Linked DNA regions of Coturnix japonica. The protein of the gene in region 1 interacts with the protein of each later gene in a biochemical or structural test. Links are inferred from orthologs where the notes say so. Each region holds a gene or a part of one and is shown in the gene's direction. Other genes may lie near its edges. The genes, in order: IQGAP1, CDC42 and BRAF.

Region 1 (4,091 bases):
TTAATAAACCCAGGTTAACTGCATCAAGGCCCGGGCACCTCGTGTGCTGCTGTTCAGCTGAGAGCACTGGGCAGCAGAGAATACACAGGAGGAGAAGATCCCTTCTGCTCAGCAGTGCTCCTGAGCATTCAGCTCCTGAGCATTCAGCTTCCTTTGACCAGCATCTGAATTTGTGTGATTCTATCTGGTTTAACACTGCTGAGTTTTAATGTTTCCTTAATTTTTACCTCCCTATTTATTATGTTATGAATAGACATGAAGAAATCTTTTCTTCAGTCTCGTTTTCTCCCCTTTTTTCTCTGGGTACCTCTTTTGTCAGCTGTGAAGTCATAATGTAAGTAGCTCCTCTTCACGTGAAAATCATTCAGTAGTTCTGATCGATACCGCTGCGTTTTGGTGTACTTACATATCTATCAATCTCTATATACATACATATTTTAGAGGAGAAATGTACTCAGGTTTGTGTATTTGCAAGGTGCACAGCGATCTGTCCATCTGCTTAGTAAAGCTGGTCTTTGTAATAATGATACGTTTCCATCTTTCAATCCTTTGGTGCTGAGCCTGTGTATTCTCAAAGCCTTATCTGCATACGACTTTGTATTATGCCAGCTTTCCTTTTCTCTGAATAATGGCCGGTCGGTTTGACGTTCTGTGTTAACTGTAACACTCTGAACGTTCTCCAGGCTTGGATGCACAGCAAAGGCTGGACGGGGTCGGGCGGTGACGTTGTTGCCCAGCGATAGGCGCGGGGCGGGCGGGGCAGAACAGAACAGAGGCGGCTTCCCAACCGAACCGCGGCGGATGGAGCCGGCAACGGAACGAGCGGCTCCTCCCCCGCCACACCCGGTGCTGCAGGAAGAGGAACAGCCGCGCCCAGCTCCCGGCCGGGCCCGGACCAACGCAGCGCTATGGCGGCGGAGGAGGTGGACGGGCTGGGCATGTCCCGGCCGCACTACGGCTGTGAGTACGGGCTGGGGCTGGGGCTGGGGCTCGGGCTCGGGCTCGGCTCCGGGAGTCGCTGCCCCCTCCAGGAGGTTTCCTGACCGGCGTCGCCTGGCCCGAGCCCGTCCGTTCCCGGGACCGCTGCTGGGCGCGAAGGCTCCGGCGGGGGGCAGCGGGGGAGCAGCGGGGGAGTCTCCCGCGGAGCGGGTGCGGCGGGACACGCGAACTCGCCCGAGCCCGACGGGTGTAACGCGGGCGGTGGAGAAGAGCGCCGGGTGAAGGCGGCGGGCGCGAGCGGCGCGGGGCCGTCATTCGCCTCCCGCGCGAGGGTCGCTGCCGTGCGCCGCGCAGCGCCTCGCCCAACATGTCCGCCGCGGGGAGGGGAGCCCGGCGGGGCGGGGGCTGCGCTGCTGCAGCAATCTCGGCGGGCACGAGAAGGGCGCGGCGGGCCGCTGCCGTGGCAGCACGATCCGGCCGCCTCCCTGCCGTGTCGGCGGCGGTGCCTCGCCTACCATCCGAACCGATCGGATGCGATCGGGTGGAGCGCCCGCATCTCTCGAAAATATGCTGGCTAATGGAGAGGGAAGCTTCGGCTCGACATTTCTGTGGCGTATGGTCGCTTGTGCGAGACGTCACGTCAAAAATGAGCAAAGATGGAGCGGGCGCCGCGCGGCGGATGGGAGATGGCGAAAGCGACGGTCGGGGCGCGGCCGCAGGTGGGGTCTGCGGGGCGGGCGGAGGCGGCGGCTCCTCCCCGCTCCCGGCCTCTGCCGCGGCACGAAGCCGTGTTCAGCTCTTGTAACTTTGGGAAAGTCTGATGTAATGGGAAAGATGCGTGTGGCCGCCAAGGGCGGGTTTCTGAGACGTCCTGGCCGTTCTTAGCGAGGCCTTGCTCTGTCCCAAATGCTGTGGTTGATACCTCATCCGTTGGTTTTTGTTTGCTGAGAGTGTTTCAGGTGTAAGTTCGCATTTGACTAATGATGGTACGAGGCGTTTCCTATTTGTCACACTGATCTATAAAACCTTCAAAAACAAAACAATATATATATGGCTTTTTCAGCATGAGAGCGTGGAGGAGGTACTTAGTGTGGCACTTAGTGTGCCTCCGGTGGCGCAGTGGTTAAGGACGCCACTTTGCAACACTGGAGGCCCGGGTTCGAATCCCCCCTGTGGCACAAGTGGTAGAAGTGCCGCTCTGCTACACAGAGGCTCGAATCCCGGGGGTTGGACTCGATGATCTCTAAGGGCCCTTCCAACCCGCACGAGACTGTGGTACTTAACAGTAAGTGGAAAGAGTGTTTGAACATACAGAAATCAGAAAGATTTGGGCATATAACTTAGGAGTTTGATCCAAAGACGATATGCAGATTGTGGATCTAAATTATTATCCTCCAGGTGATGGCTGAGAGGAGTATTTCCATCATTTTAGGGATGAAATATAGCAGTATAGAAGAAATTACACGATGTGAAAATACAGTCGTCCTTTAATCTTTGACTGTCAAAATCAGTAGGTAGGTGGAGAGTGGTGTGTCGCTGATGTGCTTGTGAGGAAGAGAAAGGCAAAGCCAGAAGGAAGTAAGAAAAAAATGGATGGTTTCAGAGAAATTGGAAGATGAGAAAGAGTTGAATCAAAGTCAAATTGAGAAATCAGAGAGGGAAGATGGCACACTTATGCAATAAGGGTGGAAGGGTAAGGAAGCTCTGTCTTTGTTACTTGCAGATAACATATGTATTTGTCTTTTCATTTTTCTGAGACAAATTATGCCTGTGGTGAGTGCCTGTGAGGAAATTGGATATGATTTTTGATACTGGGATACTGATGGGAACTGTTGAGTCCTTATGTGACCCACTGATTGAGCACCTGTGGAAAGGACCGGTCAGCCCTGGGAGCACAGGTGAAGGCAGTTCAGCTGTAGGACAGGAAGGGATGCAGCCTGGCTGCACCTCTCCTAGAGCCCATTTAGGGGCTGACTGCTGCTGGCAAGGGTCTCTTTCTGGAGATCCCCCCTTGGTGCAGCTTTCCCATGTGAATCCGAGATCTTCTGCTCCAGGTGAGCGATCTTCTTCCCTTCCTTTATAGCACCTCTGTTGTGCTAGTCCTTCCATCATCACACCTTTGTTGTAATGCCTTTCCCATTGCATTGATCTATCCAGATGCTAGAGATGTTCAATCTTCTTCTGTCTGAGTATATTTATCTGACTATTTGCAGCTGTTTTGGATAATGAGAGATTAACAGCAGAGGAAATGGATGAAAGACGGCGCCAGAATGTAGCCTATGAGTACCTTTGTCATCTGGAGGAAGCAAAGAGGTAAGGATAAGGGGGTTTCAAATGTCTGGAACTTATAAAGTCATGGTATTTTGTAAGGGGAATAATTTGGATGCGGCTTACCTCCTGTGTATTTCTCAGTGACTGGATAGATTCATTTTGAAATGAACACTAAAAAACTCAACTCTGTGGGCCTCCAGACTGTTTCGCTGCCTCAAGGAGGTAAAAATGTCAGTGCCTCGTAGCAGTTTCTGTTAGGCTCATCTAACGTGCTCTTAAAGCTGTTCTGGTTGGTTGGTTTGTTTGTTTTTTGTGACCAGTACTTCATTGCTCTAGTGCTTTGGTATTCTCAGCACTGAAAGGTTCCTACTATTATCTAACTTGTATTTGTTTTGGTGTAATATTACTTTACTACCTCCTGATGGACATGAAGAACAGATTATTCTCTTTCTCTTATTTATCTGCAACCCTTTACACATGTTTATTTGTAACCTGACTTTATAGGTCCTTCCAACACTGTCAGAAGGAACTATAGTAGCACCATTAAATGAAAGAGAAGGAAATAAGATATGGGAAAGACCGTTGTTATGAGGAAAGTCAAAGCTCTGTCACTGAAAGTCAGACCACCTTTTCTGCTTTTGAAATGTATAGTGGGGGATAAAATATTTTGGTCAGGGGTGTAGACTTGACAGCATTGTAAGATGTCAGCTAGAGGAGCTTGAATCAGTGGTAAGAGTCTTGAAATAACTACCAAACCTTTTATGAGAGCTGAAAAAAGAGATACTTGTGAGATGAGCCTATACTTGAGAAGAAAATTTGAGTTACAAAGATAGGTTGGCTACTATTTTTGGACCAGCAGCAACTAAATTGTGGTCTGGGGG
Region 2 (3,619 bases), on another chromosome or scaffold:
ATGTAGCTTCTGAAACGTCCTTTTCTGGTTCTGAAGATGAAATAGGCGTTGGAATTGGTGTTGACCTCCAGCAGAATACTCCTTAATGAGTTGCGGGTTTAGAAGGAAAAGGCTTTGGGTAGGAGCATGTGATCAGCTGTGTTGTAAACAAGTTGTTGGGTGAAACACTTGATGCAGTGTGTGCTTGTGACCTTGTGGGCAGGACGGTTGTGCCAGCTGCTACGCAGGTGCTGGTGGCTTGATCTTCTCAGTTATAGGCAAGAGACGTTACAGGTGTTTTGTTCAGTGGCTTTTATGGTATTAGATGCAGCAGTGTATCTGGTGTGCCTTTACTTTAGAAGCGTGGAAGTAACTCTCGCATCCCTATCACAAATGGAATCGTCCTGTTAACAGCCTCAGTGACAGTGCAGGAAGCTTGATGGATTCTGTCCTGTTGAGATGACTGTTGTACAAATCGGAGGGGGTTCAACATGGTAAGTAGTGTGATGGTTGAAAGATGGCATATTGACATAGCTCTTAAATGTGTTTCTTTCCCGAACAGGTTTTTGATAACTATGCTGTAACGGTGATGATTGGAGGAGAGCCTTACACTCTAGGCCTCTTTGATACTGCAGGTAAGAAACTGAGTGATCATGTCATTGCAACTGCCCTAGGTTTAGCTGAAGTGGTGTTGAATGTAAAGGTAAACCTGATCCACCAAAAGTTGGTTCTTCAGTGAAAGGGAAGAGTCTGCAGGCTTTGTTCATTGTCATTAGACTGTATTGGAGCTCATGACTGGGGTAATGTCCAGTGATTACACATTTATCTGTGTTTATTAGCAAGCATGAGAACTTAACAAGAATGAGTTGGAGCTTACCCAGGACTTGTCCTGTCCCCAGCATGTAATAATACCAGAGCTGTACGCAGCTTCTGATATTGCAAACTATTGTTTGAGTTGTTTTGTCTGAGAACTTGGCTGGTAAAGCGTTGCCTAAAATTGCCTTAGTAGAAGTTAATGTGACTCTTTCCAGCTGTATTGTTACAGATGCATTGTTAGTGTTTTATTAATTACTGGTGTGATCTTGTGCTACAGTTAAATGCTGTGGCTTTAATTATTCTTCACATTGTTCTCACAAGTTTGGTTTGTATGTTCGTACAAACTCCTTAGTTCTCGGATAGGAAGCTCTGTGGAGAAGAAGCCAAATGATTTAGTGCATATAGCTTGATATACTTGGGGAAAATAAAAGCTTTCCTTATGGAGCCAAGCGTCTGAAATTAAAGTGCTGCTGCAATGAAGGTCACCCATATTTTTACTAAACAGTAGCTTCTAGTGCAAGCTACTGAACTTAAATGGATAAAACGCATATTAATGACTGATGTATTGTAAAAACTTTCTGCTGTGAAGACAGCTTTTGGGGTATACTTTCAATTGCAACAAGTTGCTTAGCTCCCTTGTTTGTGCAGTAGCAGTCACAAGCTGTTGAGGTCTCCATCTTCAAACTACAGATCTTCCACTGAGATGTCCCAGGTGTGCTCAGCTCCTTTAAGGTCTCTGAGGTCTTTCTCCTGTATGACAAACAAGAGACTCAGTTGAAATCTGAGTGTTTTTTGAACACACGTTTCTGAGCTGGTCGCCATCTCATGGAGTAGCTGCTTAAATGGGAGCCTTGTGTTGCTTTCGAAGAAGAGTGGTACTGAATTGAGAAGGTATAAAAATGGGCTGCTGCTGAGTTTAGTGGGTCACTGTGAGTGCTGTGCTGCAGGGACTGCTGCTGTCTGATGTGCAGACCCAGAGGGAATGGCTTGGCTTCCATTGAAGCACAGCCTGCCCTGTAACTGTGTGTATTTTTAGGGGATGGCTGCTAGATAGTCTTATTACTACCACACCTGTAACAGCAGTATTCTTCTCTTACTGTTCAAAGAACACATCCTGAAATGTTTTCAAGTGTGATTTGGGACCTCCTAGGGAGCAAAACTGCTTCTGGAACTTTAGTTTTTGTGTGTTACTGAAGTTTGATGACAAAATATATTTTATGGATAGAGTAGATGCAGAAGACCTGACTTATAGCCAGATTTACATTCTGCAGTCTGAGGCTGCTTGACCTAAAAAGAATTTATTAGGGCACACTGCTGACCTTTCCTTCTCTCTTGTGACTTTAAGCAGCTTGTTGTTACATAGCAACTGAATGAATTCTATATCTGAATACAAGGCTCCCTGAATGTTTGGATTCAGGGCATGTGTATTTGCGTAAGAGTTAGAACTGCTCACAATAATGCTTTTGTGCTGGAATGTGTATTCTGACAACCTGGAAAAGGCAATATTTTGCTGTCTGCCTCTAATTCTGTGTTAATTTTCTCCCCTTCTAGGTCAGGAAGATTATGATAGATTACGACCCCTCAGCTATCCACAGACAGATGTATTTCTGGTCTGTTTTTCAGTGGTATCTCCTTCTTCATTTGAAAATGTGAAAGAAAAGGTTGGTTCAACTCTGCCTGTGTCCTCCTGAGAAGGAGCTGCTGCTGTGATTTTAGTAGTATCTAAAGTGTTAAAGTTGACTAGGTGGTCAGTAATAAATACTGTATCTTCTTTCCTTAGTGGGTACCTGAAATTACTCACCATTGTCCAAAGACTCCTTTCCTGCTTGTTGGGACCCAAATTGATCTAAGAGATGATCCCTCAACAATTGAGAAGCTTGCCAAGAACAAGCAGAAGCCCATAACTCCAGAGACAGCTGAAAAACTGGCCCGGGATCTGAAGGCTGTTAAATATGTGGAGTGCTCTGCGCTTACGCAGGTAAGAGTTGGTCTTTGACCATTTCTGCTTGTTTGTATTCTATATATATATTTTTTTCTGTTACAGGGGAAAAACAGCTTGGAGTGAATGTGAAAGGATATGAGCTCCATTTCTGCTGTTGACACAGTAGCTTTCTCTGTCCTGTTGTTCTCAGGCACGAGTAGCTGGCAGTGGTACAAAGCAAATTGGCCTGTGAAGATCAGGCACAAGTGGAGAGGGGAGGTGGAAGATTTGCTTGCTGGGTTTGCTTTTGTATTGGAGCAAAGTAGTTATCTAAAACTTAGGCGGCATGTTACGGACAATAAGTGGGTTAGAATACAGCTCACAACTGAAGAGAGCAGTCACAGGAAAAAAAAACATCAACAGATCTCGGTTTCTGTCTCAGTGAAGTAAGTTTTTTTTTTCCTTCTATGAATAGAAGCTTTCCTAATTGAGAGCTTCTTTCTCTTCTCCCTACCTGGTCTATGGTGATCTGCTTCCTTTGTGTGCCTTAAAATGGAAGTGCTGTTGAAACAGAAAATCCTAATCATATAGCTCTTCAGATATAAATGTGGCTATGCTGTGAACTGATGAGTGAAAATGAGTTTAAAAACATCTGAAATTGTTGACTTGAGGCGCCAAAACCTGGCAGTCCTTTCCTCTTAAGGTGGGGAGGGTGGTAAGTGTTGGCTGGCAGCTGGGATCTACCTTGTCTTTGGATGCCTGGGAAACATAATCTTGTGTCCACTCCTGCACAATATATTGCGACTCTTAACAGATTATTTAATGCACCTCTGTGAAGGATTAGTACCTACTTGATGTACACCAGAGGTGTGCAGTGTCAAATTCTTCACTCTTTGTCATTTT
Region 3 (4,374 bases), on another chromosome or scaffold:
GAAAGAAGCAGGCTGTCATTTTGCTCTTGCGATGCTGAGCAGGACATGAAAGGGACCTACATGCAAAATCACTCCCTTGCCCCAGTCCTCCCACTTGTCCCATGCCCAAGGCCGTCTCACACACTGCTGTCAAAGCAAAACATAATGACTCTAAAAAAAATATGCTGGAGTCAAATTAAAACTATGTAAATGTGTCCAACTTCATTACAAGAAAAATGCCGAATATTTTAATTACACATGAAAGAAAGTTTGGTATATCAACATTGCTTTTAATGGTAAGATGAAGGATGAGTTAAGAACCTTGTGGGCTGATACTTTCCTATGCTTCCCCTTACCTTATTTTTTTGTCCATTTCCACTCCTCCTCATCGTTTCTGCCAGTGTATTTCATTCAAAGGCAAAGAACCAAAATAGGACAACAATGAGATTGTTCAGCTGCCAAATTTCAATCACCATCTGAATATAACCTGATTTTGCACTGAAGATATGACAATTTGAGGTTCAGCAGGGCTGCGGAATGGGAAATGTCCCAAACTAAAAGCTTGCAAGAGGCTACCAAAGGGAAAAATACATACTGTCTGTACAGAAATAGTGAAAACATCGGCTATGCATTCTCAGTTGCCCAACCTTGGAGCTATCAGACAGAATTCTCTTGAAATACCAAAAGATGTACAGTATATCTTCAAATATAGCGACTGCCAAATATGCTTAAATGGGTGCTAGAGGTAATTGGGCCTCTTTATCTCTTTGTTGTTGCTGTTGTTTTGTCTGTTTGTTTTTGAGATACTGTCATCCACGGAAAGCCAATTACAAATAAGACCAGGAGGAAGTTTCATCTAACAGCCCTTTCGGATATTCTTCTTTTGGGGCATCTCACTAAAACTAATGTTTTCTAAAGGGAAAGGATAGAGATGCGTTCAAATGCCCACAAGGAGATGGCTGCTGGCAGATAACCATCTGATTTTCACTGAATCACTGAAACATTATTTTCTGGAGGTTCAGGTGTTCAGCTGGACAGCCTTTGAACAGCCCATTTTTCTACTGATCTGAACCAAATCATGATGGGTTAAGGTTAGTCCCTGGAACAGGCTGCTCAGGGAGGTTGTGGATGCCCCGTCCTTGGAGGTGTTCAAGACCAGGTTGGACGGGGCCCTGGGCAACCTGATCTAGTAAATGTGTATGTTTGGTGGCCCTGCCAGGCAGGGGGATTGGAACTACATGATCCTTGAGGTCCCTTCCAACCCGGCTCATTCTGTGATCTGTGATGTTCCCGCTGTGTCCACGCAGGGCACCTCAGCACGGCGGTTCCGCTCCCTCCGCTAGGGGGCGCTGCGGGGCGCTGTGCCGTGTGTTGGGCCTCGAGCCCACGTTCGAGTTCCCAGGGCGACGGTCGGTCGCGCCGTGACGTCAGGGTGTTTCCCGGTGACGCCGCGGCGCAGGCGCGTCGATCGCGGCGGCGATTCTGGGTGACGTCACGGGCCGGGCGTGACGTGCCGTGAGGCGGCGCGGGCCGCTGGGAGCTGCCCGGGATCGGCGCTCGCCCCCTTCCCCCTCCCCTCCCGCTACGGGTCGCGGCTGGGGCCGTCCCGGCGGCGGGGACGCGGTTCCCCCTTCCCTCCCCCTCCCTCGCCCCGGAGCTTCGATCCAAGATGGCGGCGCTGAGCAGCGGCAGCAGCGCCGAGGGGGCCTCGCTCTTCAACGGGGACATGGAGCCCGAGCCGCCGCCGCCCGTGCTGGGCGCCTGCTACGCCGGGAGCGGCGGCGGCGACCCGGCCATCCCGGAGGAGGTAAGGCCGAGCGGCTTCTGCCGCGGGTCCCCGCCCCCCTCCCGCCTCGCCGGACCCGGCGGCCGCGGCCCGCACGGCGGCGGAGGGGATCCCCGCTCAGGGGAGGCCCCGGCCCTCCCCCTCCTCTCCGGTGGCGGTGGCGGGGCGGGGAGGCTCCTTGCTGCCTTGCTGCTCGGGATGGGGCCGTCTGTAGGACCGGAGGTGGAGGGATGGGGCTTCCCCGGCCCTCAGCGGGGGCATCGCCGGCCCGCCCGGCTCGGAGAAGACACGGAGAGTTACCTGAGGGCGGCACAGCGTTTGTGCGGCTATTTTATAATCGCTTGGTCCGGGTAGTTTTGAAGCGCTTGAAATAAGCATTAAAAAAAATATATATATAGGGTTTGGAGGGGTTTGTTTTGCGGCTCTTGGCCTGGGTTGTGATTTCTGCTAAGAAACAGCGATGGGCAGCGGCTGTGTGGGTGCTGGGGGTGCCAGGCCCCATCTGCAGCCCTGTGACATACTGCTGTGGTGCGGGGCACCTTATTTAACTTCCCATCCCCAGACGGAGCAGTGCTGCCTGTTCTGCATGGGTTAAAGTCTGAGGCTCTGACACTTGTGAACCATTGTCAGGAGGTGGACTGTGATATGCAGCACCAACGCTGGGTGTTCTGCAGTTCTGAACACTGTAGGCACTGAAGTCTCAGCGATTTGCCATGTATCATATGTCAAGTCTGTTGTAGAGGTAAATACAGCTACCAGAGACTCTGCACCCTCATTCAGGGCTTTGGTCACCGGAGGCCGTTTCAGCTCAACCTTCCTGAGCAGGTCTGTGTGATCCATACAGCTCTCTGAGCCCTGAGCAGCACTGAGCTCCCTGCTGCCTTGGGGCAGGCCTTTCTCTGCCCCTACCTCCACTCAGAGAGGTGAGTAGGCCTTGGGCTCACCAAGAGCTCCATTTGACTCCAGCTCACTGGCTAATAATGCTTTTTCTGTATTAATAGCATTATGGAGTAGCATAGAATTCATGCGTTGGGAAATTTGGCAAGCACTAGAGCTCATGCTGAGTAGGTGGCTAGAGAGAAGAAAAGGGAAGGAGGCTTCCCCTGTTGATGCTGTTGGGAGGTAGGACTTGCCCGTCTTAAGGAGCCACCTGCTCACCTTGCTGAAGGAAGGCAAAGCTCAGCACTGTGCTCATACATTGCACCTCAACAGCAGGGTGATTAAGTGCTTTGTGTAATGCAAGTCCACTCTTAGCTTTCCTGAGTAAGGAAAAACTCTTTGCTGATTGAGAAACCTAAACAGACTAGACTTTAACAAACACCTTCCTTCAGCAAAATGAGTTTCAAAAGCATCTCATTGGCATTTGTTGCCCTGATCGTGCTGGTGCAGCTCTATGTGGAAGTGAATTGCTGTGTTATTTCCGCCATAAAAAAATAACATAAATATCAGCGGAATCGTTACAGTAACTGATTTATTTTGTGGCCCTGGGTTCAGTCATGGTAATACAGCTGAGTGGGGCAAATAAACTGCGGTGCATGGGAGAGAATAGAGGAAAGCAGTGGCATTAGAAAAGAATTATTCGAATCTCTTTTTCATCCCTGAAGAGATGTCGCTTCAGCTTCAAAACTGCTGCTGTAGGTCATCAGGTTTCACTCCAAATGCAAAACTACACAGCAAGGGGTTGCTTTGGTTTGTGTTTTTTCCCCCTTTGTAGCTTACATCTCTGTAAGGAAGAAAGAGAAGCAGCAGGCTGCTGGAGGGTTCACTACCTCTCAAGTACGGGTGCATAAATGCATGGTTAAGGGGAGTGTGCTGTTGTTACTGTATTTATTTTTCCCCAAGATTTTGTTCTTTACACATTGGAAATAATGAAACACGCAGGTCTGAGGCAGAGCTGGTGCTGGAGTTTGTGTTTTTTGATGTGGTTTTGGTGGTCAGTTAGCCAGCTCTGCCTCATGTCGTAGGTAATTACCTTTTGTTTGCAGTATGGATGTTACGCCATCTAAACCCGGTTTTAATAAAGCGTGAGATCAAATAATTGCTGATCGAGTTAAAGTGAAAACTGTTCTTAATACAAAAACAAGTCAGCGTAACCATAACACAGATGCAAGGTGACATAAGTCAGAAAATGCTGAAGTACTTAGATCTGACTCATGTAAATGCGTGTTTTGGTGTTCTGTTTCCCTTCAAGAGAATGTAAATCTGGGCTTTAACAGTAACCTTGCTGTGAAAGTGCATCAGGGAGCACAAGTTCACGTATTTAGAGGAGGCACCTAGAAGGGCTTTAGTTCCATAGTTCCCTCTGCAGTCCTGAAGGAAACACAGTCTTGATTTCCCAGAGGAAGACCTTCCATTCTATGCTAAGTTTGTAGCTGTAAGAGGAGGGCGGACAAGGAGGATCTTTGATAGACCTTAAAGCAGGAGACACAAACGTGTCGGCTGAAATCGTATGGTAAAGGAGCTGCTCTGTGTCAAGATCATGAACGAATGCTGCTTAAAACTACATCAGTATCGCCTACGAGTTCAAGGCTTGGAGTTGTGACAAACCAGCTTGTGGCACTTCATTCGACTCGTGGTCAGTTTTGAACTGAATAATGGATCCAGTGCTT

Evidence for each region.
Region 2: the proteins of IQGAP1 (region 1) and CDC42 form a complex in vitro, tested with the Homo sapiens proteins (6 studies listed by BioGRID and IntAct). The link is inferred for Coturnix japonica from reciprocal best matches to the Homo sapiens genes IQGAP1 and CDC42.
Region 3: the proteins of IQGAP1 (region 1) and BRAF form a complex in vitro, tested with the Homo sapiens proteins (2 studies listed by BioGRID and IntAct). The link is inferred for Coturnix japonica from reciprocal best matches to the Homo sapiens genes IQGAP1 and BRAF.

Annotation. Positions count from the first base shown.
Region 1 is NC_029525.1:18,431,705-18,435,795, forward strand, and holds the start of IQGAP1 (ras GTPase-activating-like protein IQGAP1), read left to right. Parts: upstream 1-1,291; 5' UTR 1,292-1,306; coding exon 1,307-1,658; intron 1,659-3,152; coding exon 3,153-3,252; intron 3,253-4,091. UniProt on the Homo sapiens protein: Plays a crucial role in regulating the dynamics and assembly of the actin cytoskeleton.
Region 2 is NC_029536.1:5,523,477-5,527,095, reverse strand, and holds part of CDC42 (cell division control protein 42 homolog), read left to right. Parts: intron 1-541; coding exon 542-614; intron 615-2,346; coding exon 2,347-2,456; intron 2,457-2,575; coding exon 2,576-2,773; intron 2,774-3,619. UniProt on the Homo sapiens protein: Plasma membrane-associated small GTPase which cycles between an active GTP-bound and an inactive GDP-bound state. In active state binds to a variety of effector proteins to regulate cellular responses. Involved in epithelial cell polarization processes.
Region 3 is NC_029516.1:55,345,038-55,349,411, forward strand, and holds the start of BRAF (serine/threonine-protein kinase B-raf), read left to right. Parts: upstream 1-1,464; 5' UTR 1,465-1,648; coding exon 1,649-1,786; intron 1,787-4,374. UniProt on the Homo sapiens protein: Protein kinase involved in the transduction of mitogenic signals from the cell membrane to the nucleus. Phosphorylates MAP2K1, and thereby activates the MAP kinase signal transduction pathway. Phosphorylates PFKFB2.